Anolis sagrei: one gene and its partner. The protein of the gene in region 1 purifies or fractionates together with the protein of each later gene. This does not show direct contact. Links are inferred from orthologs where the notes say so. Each region holds a gene or a part of one and is shown on either strand. Other genes may lie near its edges.

What was found.
Region 2: the proteins of XPO1 (region 1) and NMD3 purify together in Homo sapiens (affinity purification with western blotting; 3 studies listed by BioGRID and IntAct, with this or other methods). This does not show direct contact. The link is inferred for Anolis sagrei from reciprocal best matches to the Homo sapiens genes XPO1 and NMD3.

The regions. Positions count from the first base shown.
Region 1 is NC_090021.1:12,218,763-12,228,996, forward strand, and holds the start of XPO1 (exportin-1), read left to right. Parts: upstream 1-5,327; 5' UTR 5,328-5,970; intron 5,971-8,180; exon of another isoform or gene 8,181-8,528; intron 8,529-10,234. UniProt on the Homo sapiens protein: Mediates the nuclear export of cellular proteins (cargos) bearing a leucine-rich nuclear export signal (NES) and of RNAs.
Region 2 is NC_090023.1:247,184,354-247,194,285, forward strand, and holds the start of NMD3 (60S ribosomal export protein NMD3), read right to left. Parts: upstream 4,043-9,932; 5' UTR 3,946-4,042; intron 280-3,945; 5' UTR 255-279; coding exon 211-254; intron 1-210. UniProt on the Homo sapiens protein: Acts as an adapter for the XPO1/CRM1-mediated export of the 60S ribosomal subunit.

The sequences.
Region 1 (10,234 bases):
TTCGGTCCTCATTAAAAAAAACCCAGGTGTGATTTCCCCTGGAGAGCTTTCACGGCTGGATTCCAAAACATTTTCATCAGGCTGTTCAGTTTCACTTTCCTCGCCACTGACCTCAGCATCAACAACAGTTTCAACACTATCAGGGAGAGATACATGTTCAGTGGCTTGCTCAGTTGGAAATACAATCAGAGAATCAGGTTCACACAGAGATTGGGGCTCAGGTTCACATAGAGCAGGCTGAACCTCAACAGGTATGCTCGATTCCGGCCACAGGGAGAGCTGCTGCTTCACCGTCCACTTAAATCAACGACTTAAATCAAGACATAGTTTTCTTAGATCTACAGAGACACTTGCTGGAACACCTCAGCAAGCGAGAGTTCAAAACTGGCAGGCTCAAACCCAGCACCTCAATCCGTGGGTGATACCAAATAAGAGACTCCCCACTGGGCACACAGAAGACTGGGCGACTTGGAAGGGGCTGAACAGACTGAGCTCTGGCACCACGAGATGCAGAGCCAATCTTAAGAAATGGGGCTACATGCGAGTGTGGAGAAGAGCAAACCACTGACCACCTGCTGCAATGCACCCTGAGCCCTGCTACATGCACAATGGAGGACCTTCTTGTGGCAACACCAGAGGCACTCCAAGTGGCCAGATACTGTTCAAAGGACATTTAATCAGCTACCAAGTTTGCAAAATTTGTGTTTTGTTTTTTTATCTGTTTGTTTGTTTTGTTCTGTTAGAAATGTAATACAATGTTCTGGTTGCGGATGACATGATAAATAAATAAAACCGTCCACTTGTGACACCGAATCCTTGTACTTCTTCATTCTTGCGTACACTGCTGGAAGGTTTTATGGTGTCATAAATTAGTTAAATTAGCATCCCCGCATAAAGCAATACCTACATTTCCTACCGAATCCTTGTACTTCTTCATTCTTGCGTACACTGCTGGAAGGTTTTATGGTGTCATAAATTAGTTAAATTAGCATCCCCGCATAAAGCAATACCTACATTTCCTACAACTGTCATTCAGGCTGCATAGGTCGACAGCAAGCTAGACTATCAATGGTTGGGAGCTCACTCTGATCCAGGCTGGCTTCGAACACATGACTTCTCAGTCAGTAGTGATTTAATGCAGCTGGCTACTAATTAGCTGCGCCACAACCCAGTCTAGATAATAATACAATATACATAAAATATATTATATTATTAGCATATCATAATATTATATATTATATATTACTATATTGTACTTTTAATATGAAATATAAAATTATTCTATTGTATTATTATTAGTATTATATTATATTATATTACATTATATTTTCAATATTATATGTGTTTACACTATATTATTAGCACAGAAGAATATTAGTATTAATATGATTATGCCAATGCACAAAAATTATAGATCTATTTTATAATCTATATTTATATATAATTTAATATAATAATATATATTATTAGATAATAATATTTATATTTATATATAACTTAATATAATAATATATATATTATTATATATTATATTATTATATAATAATATACGCAATAATAATAAAATAAAAATAATTTATAATTCATAAGTTCCTTCCTTTTCCTTCCTTTTTCTTTCCTTCCCCTCTTTTTTCCTGCCAATGACGTCATTGAAAGTTGCCAGCCAATCAGAGCACAGGCACGAGGACCGCCACTTCGCCCGCGAGATTATGCTATTTGAGGCAAGCGCTACAGAAGGGGCGGGACTACATGGAAGACAGACAGCGGGGGCGAGCCAATCAAGCGGGGCCCTTCCAACTCCCTCGCTTTGCCACCCCCTCCCTTGTCTTTCTCTTAGAAATAAAGGGGAGGAGCCAACAATCCCCGCGCGCTGGGTAGAGAGGGGGGAAAAAAGCAAAACGGACAGGCCGTTCAGCCAATGATAGATCTGTATTAGAAAGGGGCGGGTTTTACAATCCTGGCGCGCTCAGTGGAGAAGGGAGTGACAGCATACAGTTAATGAAGAGGCGGGAAAAAGAGTAAGACGGGCAGGTCAGCCAGCCAATGATAAACCGGTATTAAAAATGGGCGGGGTTTACAACCTCGGCGCGCTCGGCGGAGAGGAGGGTTTAATAGAGAGGCGGGAAAAGACGGGCAGGCCAGTCAGCCAATAATAGACCTGTAGAAAAAAGAGGGGCGGGGTTTACAATCTTCGCGATCAATGGAGAGGGGTGTGAAAGCAACCAAGACGGGCAGGCCGATCAACCAATAGAAAAAAAGAGGGGCGGGGTTAACAATTTGAGCGCGCTCGGTGGAGAAGGGCGTCAAAGCATACAATTAATAGGGAGGCGGGTCAAAGAGCAAGATGGACCGGCCAGCCAGCCAATGATAGACAGCTAGAAAAAAGGGGCGGGGTTTACAATCTAGGCGCGCTCGGTGGAGAAGGGCGCGAAAGCATAGAATGAATAGAGAGGCGGGTAAAAAAGGAAGACGGGCAGGGCGGCCAGCCAATGATAGACCGCTAGAAAAAAAGGGGCGTGGTTAATAATTAGCGCGCTCGTTGGAGAGGCGGGTAAAAGAGCAAGACGGGCAGGCCGGCCAGCCAATGATAGAACGCTAGAAAAAAGAGAGGCGGGGTTAACAATGTTAGGGATTAATAGAGAGGGGAGGGAATGCATCCAAGACGGACAGGCAAGCCAGCCAATGATAGACCGCTAGAGAAAGAGAGGCGGGGTTAACAATGTTAGGGATTAATACAGAGGGGAGTGAAAGCATCCCAGACAGGCAAACCCGCTAGAGAAAGAGAGGCAGGGTAAACAATGTTAGATAGTAATAGAGAGGGGAGTGAAAGATAGAACAAGCCCTATGAGGAGCGGCTTAAGGAGCTGGGCATCTTTAGCCTGAAGAAGAGAAGGCTGAGAGGAGATATGATAGCCATGTATGAATATGTGAGAGGAAGCCACAGGGAGGAAGGAGCAAGCTTGTTTTCTGCTTCCTTGGAGACTAGGACGCAATGGAACAATGCCTTCAAACTACAAGAAAGGAGATTCCATCTGAGCATGAGGAAGAACTCTCTGACTGTGAGAACTGTTCAGCAGTGGAACTCTCTGCCCCGGAGTGTGGTGGAGGCTCCTTCTTTGGAAGCTCTTAAACAGAGGCTGGATGGCCATCTGTCGGGGGTTTATTTTTTATTTCTCGTGTCAGGGCAGCCAGTCAATTATATTACATTTCTAACAGAACAAAGCAAACAAACAGAGAAAATACAAAATGTGTGAGTTTGGTAGTTGATTAAATGTCCTTTGACCAGTATCTGGCCACTTGGAGTGCCTCTGGTGTTGCTGCAAGAAGGTCCTCCATTGAGCATGTGGCTGGGCTCAGGTTGCACTGCAGCAGGTGGTCAGTGGTTTGCTCCTCTCCACACTCGCATGTCGTGGACTCCACTTTGTGGCCCCATTTCTGAAGGTTGGCTCTGCATCTCGTGGTGCCAGAGCGCAGTCTGTTCAGCACCTTCCAAGTCGCCCGGTCCTCTGTGTGCCCAGGGAGGAGTTTCTCATTTGGTATCAGCCATTGGTTGAGATTCTGGGTTTGAGCCTGCCACTTTTGGACTCTCGCTTGCTGAGGTGTTCCAGCGAGTGTCTCTGTAGATCTTAGAAAACTATGTCTGGATTTAAGCCGTTGGCGTGCTGGCTGATACCCAAACAGGGGATGAGCTGGAGATGTCTCGGGGTTAACAATGTTAGGGATTAATAGAGAGGGGAGTGACAGATCCAAGACGGGCAGGCCGGCCAGCCAATGATAGACCGCTAGAGAAAGAGAGGCGGGGTTAACAATGTTAGATATTACTAGAGAGGGGAGGGAAAGCATCCAAGACGGGCAGGCCAGCCAGCCAATGAGAGACTGCTAAAGAAAGAGAGGCGGGGTTAACAATGTTAGGGATTAATAGAGAGGGGAGTGAAAGATCTAAGACGGGCAGGCCAGCCAGCCAATGATAGAACACTAGAAAGAGAGAGGCGGGGTTAACAATGTTAGGGATTAATAGAGAGGGAAAGCATCCAAGACGAGCAGGGGCGGGGTTAACAATGTTAGGGATTAATAGAGAGGGGAGTGACAGATCCAAGACGGGCAGGCAGGCCAACCAATGATAGAACGTTAGAAAGAGAGAGGCGGGGTTTACAATGTTGGGGATTAATACAGAGGGGAGGGAAAGTATCCAAGACGGGCGTGAAAGGGATAAGACAGGCAAGCCAGCCAGCCAATGATAGAACACTAGAAAGAGAGAGGCGGGGTTAACAATGTTAAGGATGAATACAGAGGGGAGGGAAAGCATCCAAGACAGGCAAGCCAGCCAGCCAATGATAGAACACTAGGAAGAGAGAGGCGGGGTTAACAATGTTAAGGATGAATACAGAGGGGAGGGAAAGCATCAAAGACAGGCAAGCCAGCCAGCCAATGATAGAACGTTAGAAAGAGAGAGGCGGGGTTAACTATGTTAGGGATTAATACAGAGGGGAGTGAAAGATATAAGACGGGCAGACCAGCCAGCCAATGCTAGAACGTTAGAAAGAGAGAGGCGGGGTTAACTATGGTGGGGATTAATATAGAGGGGAGGGAAAGCATCAAAGACGAGCAGGGAGAGGGGAGTGACAGATCTAAGACGGGCAGGCCGGCCAGCCAATGATAGAACACTAGAAAGAGAGAGGCGGGGCTAACAATGTTGGGGAGTAATAGAGAGGGGAGTGAAAGATCCAAGACGGGCAGGCCAGCCACCCAATGCTAGAACGTTAGAAAGAGAGAGGCGGGGTTAACAATGTTAGGCATTAGTAGAGAGGGGAGGGAAACCATCCAAGACGGGCAGGCCAGCCAGCCAATGATAGAACGCTAGAAAGAGAGAGGCGGGGTTAACAATGTTAGGGATTAATATAGAGGGGAGAGGGGAGAGAGGAGGGAAAGCATCCAAGACGAGCAGGGAGAGGGGAGTGACAGATCTAAGACGGGCAGGCCTTCCAGCCAATAATAGAACGTTAGAAAGAGAGAGGCGGGGTTAACTATGTTGGGGATTAGTAGAGAGGGGAGGGAAAGATCCAAGACGGGCAGACCAGCCAGCCAATGATAGAACGTTAGAAAGAGAGAGGCGGGGTTAACAATGCTGGGGATTAATATAGAGGGGAAGGAACGCATCCAAGACGGGCAGACCAGCCAGCCAATGAGAAGACGCTATCGGAGGCGGGCGGGAGGGAGTGAGGGAAGGAAGACGGGCGTGCGGGCCGTCCAATGGCGAGCGGCGTCTGTGCCTGGCCCTCCCCTTGTCCCGTCATCGGCGCGGGCAGCCAATGGGGCGGCGGGGCGGTTTCCGGGGGGGCGGGGCCGGCCTGCCTCGCTCGCTCCGCCGAGGCGCCATGGGCTGAAAACTAAACCGAGATGGAATCTCCCAGTCTGAACCGGTTTGAGCCGGTTCCGAGTCTGTGGCAGTAGAAGAGGAGGAGGGGGAGGGCTGAGGGGAAAAGAGCGGAAGGCGAAGCACGAAGCCACGGGGGAAGAAGAAGGAGAAGGAGGAAAAGAGAAGGAGGGAGAGAGTGGATGAGAGGAGGGAGTGAGTGAGGAGAAGAAGGAGGCGTGTGTGTGTGTGAGAGAGAGAAGCAAGATTGGCAGGAGGAGGAAGAGGGAGAGGAGAAGGGGGGTTCACCACAACAACAAGGCCAGGTGTGTGTGTTGTGTGTTGTTTACCACAACAACAACAAGGCCAGGTGTGTGTTGTGTTTGTATCTATCTCCCTGTGAGGGGAACAGCAGGCGCCATGGAGGAGGACTGAGGGGAGGAAGGTGTGTATGTGTGTCTGTGTGTGAGAGAGAGGGGTGTGTTGGTGGAAAGAGTTTGTGCTGGTTGGGGGTGGGATTCCTATTTTACACTCTTGTTCTTCCTCCTCTTCTTCTCCCCTCTGAAAGGGGGAAAATACACACACACACTCACACACAAAAAGAGGAAAAAATTGAGGTGAGCAGATCTCTTTCTGGGAGTTGTGTGTTGTTTCTTTTTCTGGGGCGGGTTTTTCTCCCTCTTTTCCTCACAAACCTCAACCTCCTCCTCCTCGTTGAGGGGAGTACTGGGGTGTGTTTGCACAGGCCTCTCTGAGGAAGAGGTTGGGCTTCAGGGGTCAGCGTGGCTTCTGCTTTCTGGAGGGAAACAGATATCTATTGGAAAGAAAGAGAGAGGCAGAAAAGTCAGCTTTCTGGAGAAATATCTATCCTTCAGTGTGTTTTTGCAAAGAGCTTTTTGAAAATATAGATATCAGAGAGGCAGAAAAGTCAGCTTTCTAGAGAAATATCTATACTTCAGTGTGTTTTTGCAAAAGGTTTTCTGAAAATATAAGTATATTAGAGAGAGAAGCAGAAAAGTCAGCTTTCTGGAGAAATATATATCATTCAGTGTGTTTTTGCAAAGAGCTTTCTGAAAATATAAGCATCTATTAGAGAGAGAAGCAGAAAAGTCAGCTTTCTGGAGAAATATATATTCTTCAGTGTGTTTTTGCAAAAGACTTTCTGAAAATATGAGTATCTATTAGAGAGAAGGAGAAAAGTCAGCTTTCTGGAGAACTATCTATCCTTCAGTGTGTTTTTGCAAAGAGTTTTCTGAAAATATAAGTATCTTATTAGAGAGAGAAGGAGAAAAGTCAGCTTTCTGAAGAAATATATATCTAAATATCTATCTATAGATATCCTTCAGTGTGTTTTTGCAAAAAGCTTTCTGAAAATAGAAGTATCTATTAGAGAGAGAAGCAGAAAAGTCAGCTTTCTGAAGAAATATATATATATATATATATATATATATATATCCTTCAGTGTGTTTTTGCAAAGAGTTTTCTGAAAATATAAGTATCTGTTAGGCAGAAAAGTCAGCTTTCTGGAGAAATACATACCCTTCTGTGTGTTTTTGCAAAAGTCTTTCTGAAAATATAACTATAAGAGTAGCAGAAAAATCAGCTTTCTGAAAATATATCTATATATCCTTCAGTGTGTTTTTTGCAGAGCTTTCTAAAGATATATATATATATATATATATCATATAGATAGATCCTTCAGTGTGTATGTGTTTGCTATAGGCCCCAAGCCTTTCCCCAAGCATTTCAACCATAGAGTTGTTGGCAAGGAAGTCAGCTCTCTGAAGAAATATAGATCTATATATCCTTCAGTGTGTTTTTGCTAAAGACCCATTTTCCCCCCAAAGCTGACTTTCAACTTTCAGCATTGCTTTGAGATACTAGTAAGGTTGTTGGCAGATTTCTGAAGAATATAGCTATCTATAGATCTATCCTTCAGTGTGTTTTTGCAAAGAGTTTTCTGAAGAAATAGATATTAGAGAGGCAGGGAAGTCAGCTTTCTGAAGTAATACCTATATATCTATGTGTATGTATGTATATGTAGATTGATATCCTTCAGTGTGTATGTTTGCTAAAGGCCCCAGACCTTTCCCCAAGGTTGGCTTTCAACTTCCAGTATTTTAACCATAGAGTTGTTGGCAGGGAAGTCAGCTTCCTGAAGAAATATCTATCTATATATCCTCCAGTGTGCATTTTTGCTGTAGGCCCCAAACCTTTCCCCAAGGTTGGCTTTCAACTTCATTGCTTTGGAAAGAAAGGCTAGTAGGGTTGTTGGCAGGGAAGTCAGCTTTCTGAAGAAATATATATCTGTATAGCTCTATATATCTGTATTCTTCAGTGTGTGTGTTTGCAAAAGGCCCCAAACATTTCCCCAGGGTTGGCTTTCAACTTCCAGCATTGCTTTGGAAAGAGAGGCTAAGATATTGTGGATTGATTTTTTAAAATATAGTTATATATACACATAGATTGGGGTGTGTGAGAGAGAAGGAAAAAAGAGGTGTAGCAGGAACATCCTTTCTGCACTTTTTTTCATAAAGAGCGGGAGAGTGAAAACGGGTGGAGACTTTGCTTTTTCCTCCCTTTGAGATCTAACTCTACATAGGCCTCAAACACACCCCAATTTTTCTGCCTGTGTTTTATTTGGGGAAAATAAGGGTGTTACATCTGTTTGAATGAATGGCAAAGGCCTGGCCCAAGTTGTAGGTGTGTTTGCAACTTTGCTAGGAAAGTGACTTGACTTCCATGTGCATTTTTTCTCTCCAGTTTGTGTGAGTCGCCCTATTATTATTTTACTCCATCTTTTTTCTCTTCTTTTTTTTTTTGGTAGGTTTGGCTCGTTGTTTGTTTGAGAGAAACAGAGAAGTGTGTATGTGACAATTTAATTATTTTTTGAATGAAAAAAAGGAACCAGACTTCTGGGCCTCACGTGAAATCAGAAGGAGACACCTCTCTTTTGTGTCGGGTGTGAGGTTGTGTGTTGGGAAGCTGAGGCTTTGGGAAGGAAAGCTGGGCAGGCCTTTCTTTTTAAGACACACACAGAGAGAAAGAGAGACACTCCTCGTGCTTTGCTTGGATTCCCACCCACCTATCTACCCATCTTTCTCTTTTGTTTTGTTTTTTGTATTGTGACTCCTCTGCTCCCTCTCTAGAAGAAGTAGCTGTGATACTCAATTAGGTAAGTCAAGACTTTTTTTTTGTTTCACCTATTGGGAAGGAAACATGTGCAAAAGGGATGGGGAAGGAAAAGTTGGGGAGTGGGTGACCAAAAAGGGAGAAAGAAACCCACTGAAAGGTTTTGGAGATAGTTGGAACCCTGCTGGGAAGTTATAGTTTGGTATAATAAATAAATATGGTAAATAGAGAAGTATAGGATGGGATGGGATGGGGAAGGAAAAGTAGGAGAGTGGGTGACCAAAAAGGGAGAAGGAAACCCACTGAAAGGTTTTGGAGACGGTAGGAAGCCTCCAGGGAAGTTATAGTATGGTAAATAAATATGGTATGTATGTATATATAGAGTGTGTGTGTGTGTGTATGAGATGGGGAAGGAAAAGTTGGGGAGTGGGTGACCAAAAAGGGAGAAAGAAACCCACAGAAAGGTTTTGGAGACAGTGGGAGGCCTGCAGGGAAGTTATAGTATGGTAAATAAATATGGTATGTATATATATATATAGAGAGAGAGAGTATGGGATGGGGAAGGAAAGGTTGTGGAGTGGGTAACCAAAAAGGGAGAAAGAAATCCACTGAAAGGTTTTGGAGACAGTGGGAGGCCTCCTGGGAAGTTATAGTACAGTATGGTAAATAAATATGGCATGTATATATATGTATAGAGAAAGTGTAAGGTATGAGGAAGGAAAAGTTGGAGAGTGGGTAACCAAAAAGGGAGAAAGAAACCCACAGAAAGGTTTTGGAGACAGTGGGAGGCCTGCAGGGAAGTTATAGTATGGTATGGTAAATAAATACTTACAGTATGGATTGGGGAAGGAAAAGTTGGGGAGTGGGTGACTGAAAAGTGGGGGGGGGGGACCCACTGGAAGGTTTTAAAGACAGTGGGAAGCCTTCTGGGATGTTATAGTATGGTATAGTAAATAAATATGGGAAATAAATAAAGATGAGATGGGGAAGGACGACAGGTTGAGGAGTGGATGACCAAAAAGGGAGAAAGAAACCCATTTAAAGGTTTTGGAGACTGAGAAGCTTGCTGGGAAGTTAAAATATGGTATAGTAAATAAATATGATAAATAAAAATGTTATAGAGAGAGAGAGAATGGGATGGGATGGGGAAGGAAAAGTTGAGGAGTAGGTGATCAAAAAGGGAGAAAGAAACCCACTCAAAGGTTTTGGAGACAGTGGGAAGCCTGCTGGGAAGTTATAGTACGGTATAGTAAATAAATATGGGAAATAAAAATGTTATATGTAGAGAGAGATAGAGAATGGGATGGGCAAGGAAAAGTTGAGGAGTGGGTGATCAAAAATGGAGAAAGAAACCCACTGAAAGGTTTTGGAGACCATGGGAAGCCTGCTGGGAAGTTATAGTATGGTATAGTAAATAAATATGCTAAATAAATATAGTATAGTATGGAAAATGTATTGAGTGGAGCAATGGATTTAAATGTGCAGGAAAAGATGTTCCACCTAAATATAGGGATTGTTAAGAGTTTAGAGAATGGGATGGGCAAGGAAAAGTTGAGGAGTGGGTGATCAGAAATGGAGAAAGAAACCCACAGAAAGGTTTTGGAGACCATGGGAAGCCTGCTGGGAAGTTATAGTATGGTATAGTAAACAAATATGGGAAATAAATAAAGTATACTATGGAAAATGTATTGAATGGAGCAATGGATTCAAATTTGCAGGAAAAGATGTTCCACCTAAATATAGGGGTGG
Region 2 (9,932 bases), on another chromosome or scaffold:
TTTAGATCTCTGCCGAGTCAATTGAGGATATGTTTTCAGCAACTTAATGCTCCTCAGGGTGAATAATGACCACTACCTACCATGAACTTTCTCATTTCTAAGAAGACGAAGAATTTTGTACATTTGCATGCATAAATACAAAGTCTATTCTATCACTGAAAACTCAATTTCAATGCATTCTGGTTGGGGCTCATGGAAACTGTTACTTACATATTTCCCTGGCTGACAGTAGCAGGTTCTTTCATGTATTCCATTCTCGTTCCACATGCAACTTCCAAGCTAAAAAGGAGGAAAAAAATTCAATGCTGGAGGAAACCCTTTTGGCATGTAGATAATGCAGGAAGAAATAAAACCACAAGACAGCCAGGTATGAAAAAGAGAGCAAAGTTGTGCATTATTCAAAGATTGAAATGCTTCAGGGGCTGAGATCAACCATAAGGTATTTCGAGAGGTGCAGCGTGAAAACATGTCAAGTCAAGTCACCTTTATTTATATCCCGTCCCATCTCCCTTTGTGACTCGGAGCTTTGTTGTTTATTCGTTGAGTCGCTTCCGACTCTTCGTGACCTCACGGACCAGCCCACGCCAGAGCTCCCTGTCAGCCGTCACCACTCCCAGCTCCTTCAAGGTCAAGCCAGTCACTTCAGGGATACCACCCATCCACCTTGCCCTTGGTCGGCCCCTCTTCCTTTGTCGAATAAACAACAACAAAGATTAAGTACTTTGGCCACATAATGAGAAGACAGGAAAGCTTGGAGAAGAGAATGATGCTGGGGAAAATGGAAGGAAAAAGGAAGAGAGGCCGAGCAAGGGCAAGATGAATGGATGGATGGTATCCCTGAAGTGACTGGCTTGACCATGAAGGAGCTGGGGATGGCTGTTGTTGTTTATTCATTCAGTCGCTTCTGACTCTTCGTGACTTCATGGACCAGCCTACACCAGAGCTCCCTGTCGGCTGTAGCCACCCCCAGCTCCTTCATAGTCAAGCCAGTCACTTCAAGGATACCATCCATCTTGCCCTTGCTCGGCCCCTCTTCCTTTTCCTTCCATTTTCTCCAGCATAATTGTCTTCTCTAAGCTTTCCTGTCTCTTCATGATGTGGCCAAAGTACTTCATCTTTGCCTCTAGTATCCTTCCCTTCAATGAGCAGTCGGGCTTTATTTCCTGAAGTATGGACTGGTTGGATCTTCTTGTGGTCCAAGGCACTCTCAGAACTTTCCTCCAACACCACAGTTCAAAAGCATCTATCTTCCTTCGCTCAGCCTTCCTTATGGTCCAGCTCTCACATCCGTTGGTGACCATGGGGAATACCATTGCTTTAACTATGCGAATCTTTGTTGCCAGTGTGATGTCTCTACTCTTCACTATTTTATTGAGATTGGTCATTGTATATTGCTCTCCTCCCAAGAAGTAAGCGTCTCCTGATTTCCTTTGCTTTAACTATGTTGATCTTCGATGTCTCTACTCTTCACTATTTTATTGAGATTGGTCATTGCTCTCCTCCCAAGAAGTAAGCTCAGAGCGGCTTACAACAAAACACACAATAAAGACACAAATGCACTGTAAATTAAATAATTAATACAAACAAGGTATCATAACTAAACATGATAGCAATCAATAAAGAATGCTGCAGAAGTGGAGCAGCCTAACACTACGTTTACCTGCTAGAGAGTTCTGGGACTTGTAGTCTGCTGTAGCATCAGAGCTCTCTCACAAGAGGGTGCATCTGCACTGCAGTTAAAAGTGGTGTTAGGCTGCTCTAGTTCTGCAGCATGTTTTAATTTGTATTTGTATTTCTAGGTGCAAAGATTACTGCAGATGCAGACTGTGGCCAGGAAATCAGAAGACGCTTACTTCTTGGGAGGAGAGCAATGTCCAGTCTCGATAAAATAGTAAAGAGTAGAGACATCAGACTGGCAACAAAGATCCGCCTACTCAAAGCCATGGTATTCCCTGTAGTAACCTACGGATGTGAGAGTTGGACCTTAGGGAAGGCCGAGCAAAGGAAGATAGATGCTTTTGAACTGTGGTGTTGGAGGAAAGTGCTGAGAGTGCCTTGGACTGCGAGAAGATCCAACCAGTCCATCCTCCAGGAAATAAAGCCCGACTGCTCACTGGAGGGAAGGATACTAGAGACAAAGTTGAAGTACTTTGGCCACATCATGAGGAGACAGCAAAGCCTAGAGAAGACAATTATGCTGGGGAAAGTGGAAGGCAAAAGGAAGAGGGGCTGATCAAGGGCAAGATGGATGGATGGCATCCTTGAAGTGACTGGACTGACCTTGAAGGAGCTGGGGGTGGTGACGGCCGACAGGGAGCTCTGGCGTGGGCTGGTCCATGAGGTCACGAAGAGTCGGAGGCGACTGAACGAATGAACAACAACAATCATATTTAGTTACGATACATTGTTTGTATTAATTATTTACTTTATTATGCATTTGTATCTTTATTGTGTATTTTGTTTGCAGAGATATTGCAGTTTGACACCAGCTTTGGCCCAATGCTATGGAATACTAGAATTTGTAGTCCCACAAAGTCTAAATGCCTCACAAAACGACAACTCCCTGAATCCAATAGACCCGAGCCATTAAAGCGGTATCAAACTAGGTTATTGTGGGCTTTCTCGGGCTATATGGCCATGTTCTAGAGGCATTTCTCCTGACGTTTCGCCTGCATCTATGACAAGCATCCTCAGAGGTAGTGAGGTCTGTTGGAATTAGGACAATGGGTTTATATATCTGTGGAATGGCTGGGGTGGGGCAAGGAGCTCTTCCCTGCTGGAGCTAGGTGTGAATGTTTCAGCTGATCACCTTCATTAGCATTTGAAGGCTTGGCTGAGCCTGGGAAAATACCCTGTTGAGAGGTGTTAAGATGTGCCTGGTTGTTTCCTCTCTGCTGTTTTGCTGTTGTAATTTTAGAGTTTTTTAATACTGGTAGCCAGATTTTGTTCATTTTCATGGTTTCTTCCTTTCTGTTGAAATTGTCCACATGCTTGTGGATTTCAATGGCTTCTCTGTGTAGTCTGACATGGTGGTTGTTGGTGTGGTCTAGCATTTCTGTGTTCTCAAATAATATGCTGTGTCCAGGCTGGTTCATCAGGTGCTCTGCTATGGCTGACTTCTCTGGTTGAAGTAGTCTGCAGTGCCTTTCATGTTCCTTGATGCGTGTCTGGGCGCTGCGTTTGGTGGTCCCTATGTAGACTTGTCCACAGCTGCATGGTATACAGTAGACTCCTGCAGAGGTGAGAGGATCCCTCTTGTCCTTTGCTGAACGTAGCATTTGTTGGATTTTCTTGGTGGGTTTGTAGATTGTTTGTATGTTGTGTTTCCTCATCAGCTTCCCTATGCGGTCAGTGGTTCTCTTGATGTATGGCAGGAACACTTTTCTTCTGGGTGGATCTTCATCTTGACTCTCGTGGCTTGTTCTTGGTCTTGCAGCTCTTCTGATGTCTGAGGTGGAGTATCCATTGGCCTGGAGAGCCCACAAGCATGTGGGCAATTTCAACAGAAAGGAAGAGACCATGAAAATGAACAAAATCTGGCTGCCAGTATTAAAAAACTCTAAAATTACAACAGCAAAACAACAGAGAGGAAACAGCCAGGCACAGATTAACACCTCTCAACAGGGTATTTTCCCAGGCTCAGCCAGGCCTTCAAATGCTAATGAAGGTGATCAGCTGAAACATTCACACCTAGCTCCAGCAGGGAAGAGCTCCTTGCCCCACCCCAGGCATTCCACAGATATATAAACCCATTGTCCTATTTCCAACAGACCTCACTACCTCTGAGGATGCTTGCCATAGATGCAGGCGGAACGTCAGGAGAAATGCCTCTAGAACATGGCCATATAGCCCGAGAAAGCCCACAAGAACCTATGCAGCGTATTGTTGGAGCTGCCCCATTTTGCAAGGAAGGCTTGAAATCCCAAGTAAGTGTGAGATTCTTACGTAGCCGAAGCGGAGAAGCTGCTCTCTGCCTAGGAAGCTCACGCGGCTGCCACGCTTCCCCTTCTCTTCCGGTCTCCGCCGGTGAACGTCAGCCTCGCGAGATTTGCATGGACTTTAGTGGCTGCCTTGCGTGCTCTCGCGAGACGTTACATCCCTCCCGGAGGCAGCTCTCGCGAGACTCAAGCAGAACTTTTCAGATTCGCTTCGGAGTGGTGAGTTAGTTGGGTGCTGGAGTAAACCCTCAAAGCAGAAGTTTTCATTGGTTCTTGGACTGAAAGTGCTTAGAGAATTCAAGGAGGACCAAGAACATTGGACATACATGTGATTTTCTTTCTTTTTTGGGCCATTTTAAGGGTCTATAGGCTTTCAGGCTTCAGGGCATATATATAGGCCGCACATTCTCTGTTGTTATATATATCAGGTATGGGGCAAACTTGGGCCTTCCCTCCAGGTGTTTTGGACTTCAACTCCCACAATTCCTAACAGCCGGTAGGCTGTTAGGAATTGTGGGAGTTGAAGTCCAAAACACCTGGAGGGAAGGCCCAAGTTTGCCCCATGCCTGTCTTAATTGGTCTATCCATATAGATAAGGCAGAATATAAATAAGGGTAGAATATAAATACAGTCTTATATGGGATGCTTTGTGAATTGCAAGTACAGAAAAGATTGGTACTTTACATCAGATAGATTTATTTTCAGGCACATGAAAGTATATAGCATATACCTGTACGCAGATGATGTTCAACTCTGTCACTCCTTCTCACCTGCTACTAAGGAGGCTGTTCAAGTCCTGAACCGGTGCTTGGCCGCTGTAACAGACTGGATGAAGGTGAACAAATTGAAACTAAATCCAGACAAGACAGAGGTACTCCTGGTTAGCCGTAAGGCTGAACAGGGCATAGGGTTACAGCCTGTGCTTGACGGGGTTACACTCCCCCTGAAGGCGCAGCTTGGGAGTGATCCTGGACTCATCGCTGAGCCTGGAACCCCAGGTCTCGGCAGTGTCCAGGAAAGCTTTTGCACAATTAAAGCTTGTGCGCCAGCTATGCCCGTACCTTGGGAAGTCTGACTTGGCCACGGTAGTCCACGCTTTGGTTACATCCCGTATAGACTACTGCAACGCTCTCTACGTGGGGTTGCCTCTGAAGACTGCTCAGAAGCTTCAATTGGTCCAACGAGCGGCAGCCAGGATGCTAACAGGAGTGGCACTCAGGGAGCATACTACTCCTCTGTTGCGCCAGCTCCACTGGCTGCCAATTTGCTACCGGGCACAATTCAAAGTGCTGGCTTTAGCCTTTAAAGCCCTAAACGGTTCTGGCCCGACCTATCTGTCCGAATGCATCTCCTCCTATGAACCAGTTAGGATGTTAAGATCGTCTGGGGAGGCCCTGCTCTCGGTCCCGCCGATTTCACAAGCACGCCTGGCGGGGACGAGAGACAGGGCCTTCTCAGTAGTGGCCCCCCGGCTGTGGAACGCCCTTCCTACAGACATTAGATCGGCCGCCTCCTTATTGGAATTCAGGAAGAGAGTGAAGACCTGGCTCTTCGAACAGGCTTTCAACTAAGCGGTACAATTGATTGATTATTGGAATATGGATTAATGGACAACTAGATTGAATGCTGATTCTATTGATGAGACGTCCAACGTTCGGCAGCCAGATTACTAATGGGAGCGGAGTACAGGGAGCGCACAACTCCACTGGCTGCCAATTAGCTTCCGAGCACAATTCAAAGTGCTGGTCTTAACCTACAAAACCCTATACGGTTCCGGCCCAGTTTACCTGTCCGAACTTATTCTCCCCTATGAACCATCAAGACAGTTGAGATCTTCAGGTGGGGCCCTGCTCTCGATCCCGCCATTTTCGCAATCGCGTCTGGTGGGGACGAGAGACAGGGCCTTTTCTGTAGTGGCCCCTCAGCTATGGAACTCTCTCCCGATTGAGATCAGATCTGCCCCCTCCCTCCTGTCCTTCAGGAGGCTGGTGAAATCCTGGCTATGGAAGGAAGCATTCCCAGAGTAATGGTTGAGACCGGCTACAGAACAGAGTTCTCGATCACACACATGGACTGAATTGGACATGATTTTATCCTGGCGATTTGAATTATCAGTAAATCTAATCTATATGTATTTTTAACTTGTTATTATTGTATGATGTTTTTATATTGTATTGTTGACCTTTTTGTAGCTAAAAGTGAAACAGAAGTTGGGGGTTACGGAAAAGCTAGAATGGCCATTTATGAGATAGTTACATGCCACAGGATATGATGGGTGTATATGAGAGCAACAATTTAACATTGAAATGTTAGCTATGTTTTTGTTAAACATTTTTAGTCATTTTCTGCCTCCTGCTGGGGAAAAAAGGATATGTACAGCAATTAAATAAATATCCACTGACCAGAAACCATGTGCACCAAATTATCCAGCCACACAAAACTAACGAAGAGGGATGGAACAAGCCTCAAAAGTTCTGCAAGGATCGAGACCATACACCCATTTCATACAAAATACCTGCATTCTAGAAAGCTCTCAAACAATCACTTTTCCAAATAGTGAGTCAATTTTTATATACAAAAGACAACAAACATGTCCGGGTCATTAGCTCTCCAGCATAGTATTCTGCCATTTCAGATATGTTGTCTATAAGAGATATATTATACACACTAGCAAACATTTAGCTCAACAAAAATTGAGCCCATAGTATAACTTTTATAACACTGAAGGGACTTTCTTATACCCATATTATCCTGAACATAAGAAATGGATTATCGAGAATGTTCTACTGCACAAATAATAAAATAATAGTAACTTAATTCAGTGTCTCGTCATGGGTGGGCGGACTAGTGCAACAACAATAGAGGATAGAACTAGTGAATAAAGTGCATATATCATATAGCAACGATAGGATAAGAACGATTTATCATTAAATATTTGGATATAACAATAGTAAAATGCTTAATGACAAGATTTTTGGGTCCTAACTGGGGCCAGCTGTCCAGATAATTGCTTAGTCAAAAACAAGACTATTGGATTTTTAATTTATTTCTTTAATCTGTTTACTTCCTTGTTCTGTGGTGGTATCTGTCATTTACACTTGACTGAAGAAGAAATGTTATTCATTTCAAAAGTTCAGTTGCAATCCACTGCTATACGGAAATGGTGAGCCACTGTACTACATGTGAGACATCTAGAAACTCTGGAATTATGTGGAACTGGTATTATGTGATGCATGAATTATCAATTTCTAACCAATTATTGATGAAACTAACTGCATCTATAAATCTTTGTAGTATATTTGTCTATTTTTCAGGCAATTCATTTTATAAATCCAAATACAAACATTATTTCCCATGTGGAAAAACAACACCCAGTGGCAGCTGCCTACATTGGTAAGAAAGAGACATTGCCAAGATGTGTACATTTGTGCTCAAGTTATGAACAGTGTGTATGTACTCATGCAATTCTAGGGAACTTCATAATAAATGGACAATATTTATGTCTCCAGCTTTTTCCTAATGGTTATGAGTTGTTATTATGATGATGTTTATTAACATTCTGTTTTTTTCTCTCCACTGGGAGATTCAAAGCGGCTTTAAGAACTTGTATGTGACAGCATCAGCAAGTGAATTTGAATACAAGAATCTTTATGACATATTTATTACTAAATATTTTGAAGGTCTGTATTATTTCATTAATGTACAGTTCTTCATGAATTCCCATGGGACGCTTATTTTTTCCATTTTGCATTCCCTCAGTATATTTCCATGGCATGCTTGAAACATGGTCTTCTGGTTCATAATTAAAATAAAATTAAGGCAGTTGCTTTCTTTGCCTACAGTATTTTTTGTTTTTCTTTTCTCTTGTGAGGCATCATCTGTAGTGTAACTGTTCACCAGAAAGAAATCAGAAGCAGCAAATGTGTAAATGCAAATGTATACTGATTACATACAATTACTTTGTCTACACTTACTTTAGGTACTTCATATGCATGCACATAAAACATAAAACTTGTTTTCTATTAATCATCCTTTGAAAGAACATGTACCTTGTAAAAAGGTTTCCTATTGAGATCAAATGCAAATGTATAGTGACCATGCATATCATAAATCAGTAGTTGTCTATATTTTTATTTAAAAGTTGATATGATGAAATTTGCTCAAATTTAATCAAAAACAGAAAGGAAAACATTTTCTATGTTCAAATGACGAACTAAGCAACTGTGGTTAGTGCTCAATACATAACAATATCACCAATGGCCATTTATAACTTTCAGGAGCTATCTGGGATATTAAAAATGGTATTGGAGGCCACATGTGCCTCATGGCCTGAACTTCGTCCACCTCTTCTTTAACCTGCTGCCTTTCTTTTAGGCATAATCAGAATTATTTATTTATTTATTTCATTTATATACCACTTCTCACACCCTCAAAGCGGTTCACGGCAAAGCAATTGGCAAAATTCAATGACTCACATAAAAAATACATCACATAAGTAAAGTAGCATATAACAATAGATTAAAACCAATAAACCACAAAACATAGGACAGAGACAAAACATAAAACATAGAACATTGAACATTGCTGTTTCTAATAGAAGGAAAGATCTTATTGGCACTAATGGTAACTATACATCCTTTCCCCCAACTCTAATTGAGGCTACTGCAGGGGTAAATGGCTTTTTTCTTCCTTCCCCACTGCTGTGGTCCTCATCTGAATTTGTCTCAGAGTTCCTCTTTGCACACCAGCAATTTAGTTTCTGAAACCCAGAAACAGCATAGCCAAATTACATGACATCATGTTTCTTTTGTCCCCTGGAGTTCTAGAAGATGGTTCTTTCACGAAGCATTCTACAGAGGATTTCTACAGGTCAATTGGTAACCAAATAAGAGCATTTTACTGAGTTTTAAAATAAGGTGACATGGTTTATTCAAGTAGGACAGACAGGCAGGTAATCCAAGGGCATACAATTAACATAAGAATGTCTGAAGCAAACCCATCTTCCCGTATGGAATAATTCCCCATAACACTTGAATTTCCTTTAAAAAAAACAAAACTAATAAAATATTTTTACATTGGACTAAAAAATATTTTAAAAAGAAACCATAGTTGTCTGTGGAGCATTTCTCTAAAAGCACTCTTGCTTGCAAAATAATCAAAAGCTGTCTGGCAGAAGAAAAGGGAAAAAAATGAGAAAGCCAATTGAATATTGTATTAAAAATTAATGCAGCGTAAAATCATTGAATTTTACAGCTTTGGATTTTAAACAACAATTTGTAGCAGGAATATTCTCTTTATGCTTCAAATTGTCATTTATTATTACCTTGATTCAATTGCGATGTGACTTCTTGTTATGATTTTAATAGTGAATGCAAACTTGTGTGGCTGGTTTCGACTGTGGCAAGAATCTGTTACAAAATGGAATTTTAAGTTAGGTAAGACAGTATGATACCCATATCCACGAATTTTATATCCATGGTTTTCCTTATGCTCAAAAAACTGTCCCTCATCATAAAGTGTTTGTGGACCTTTAGGTCCTCCAGTGTGATTCTATGATATATTTTTGACCCAAGCTTAGTCACAATATAGGATTCACTATTATCTGCGGTTTCATATCCTTCAAATTGGGAGATAGTATCTTAAAACAAAAGTGCTTCTGTTTCTTCTGAATAACATGAAATTTTATCCAGACAGACTAAATGCCATGGTTCTCTCTGTTGTATTTAACCACTCCCCCAACACCCAGTCATCCCATTTCCAAAAGTTGTTTTCCTTTGAACTCATTTCCCCGGAAACTGTTGAAAGCTGCATTTGTTCCTGTTAAAAATTGTTTTTTTTAAAAAACAACAACAACAACTCTGTTTTCTGAATACATATTCACAAACATGTTTAATTTTAGTTTATTTGTGAGCATCTGCTGATGATACTAGTTGGGATGGTAGCTGTGTGTATTTGCTCCTCCCGGTTATATTTCTGAGTGGAATCAAATGTATC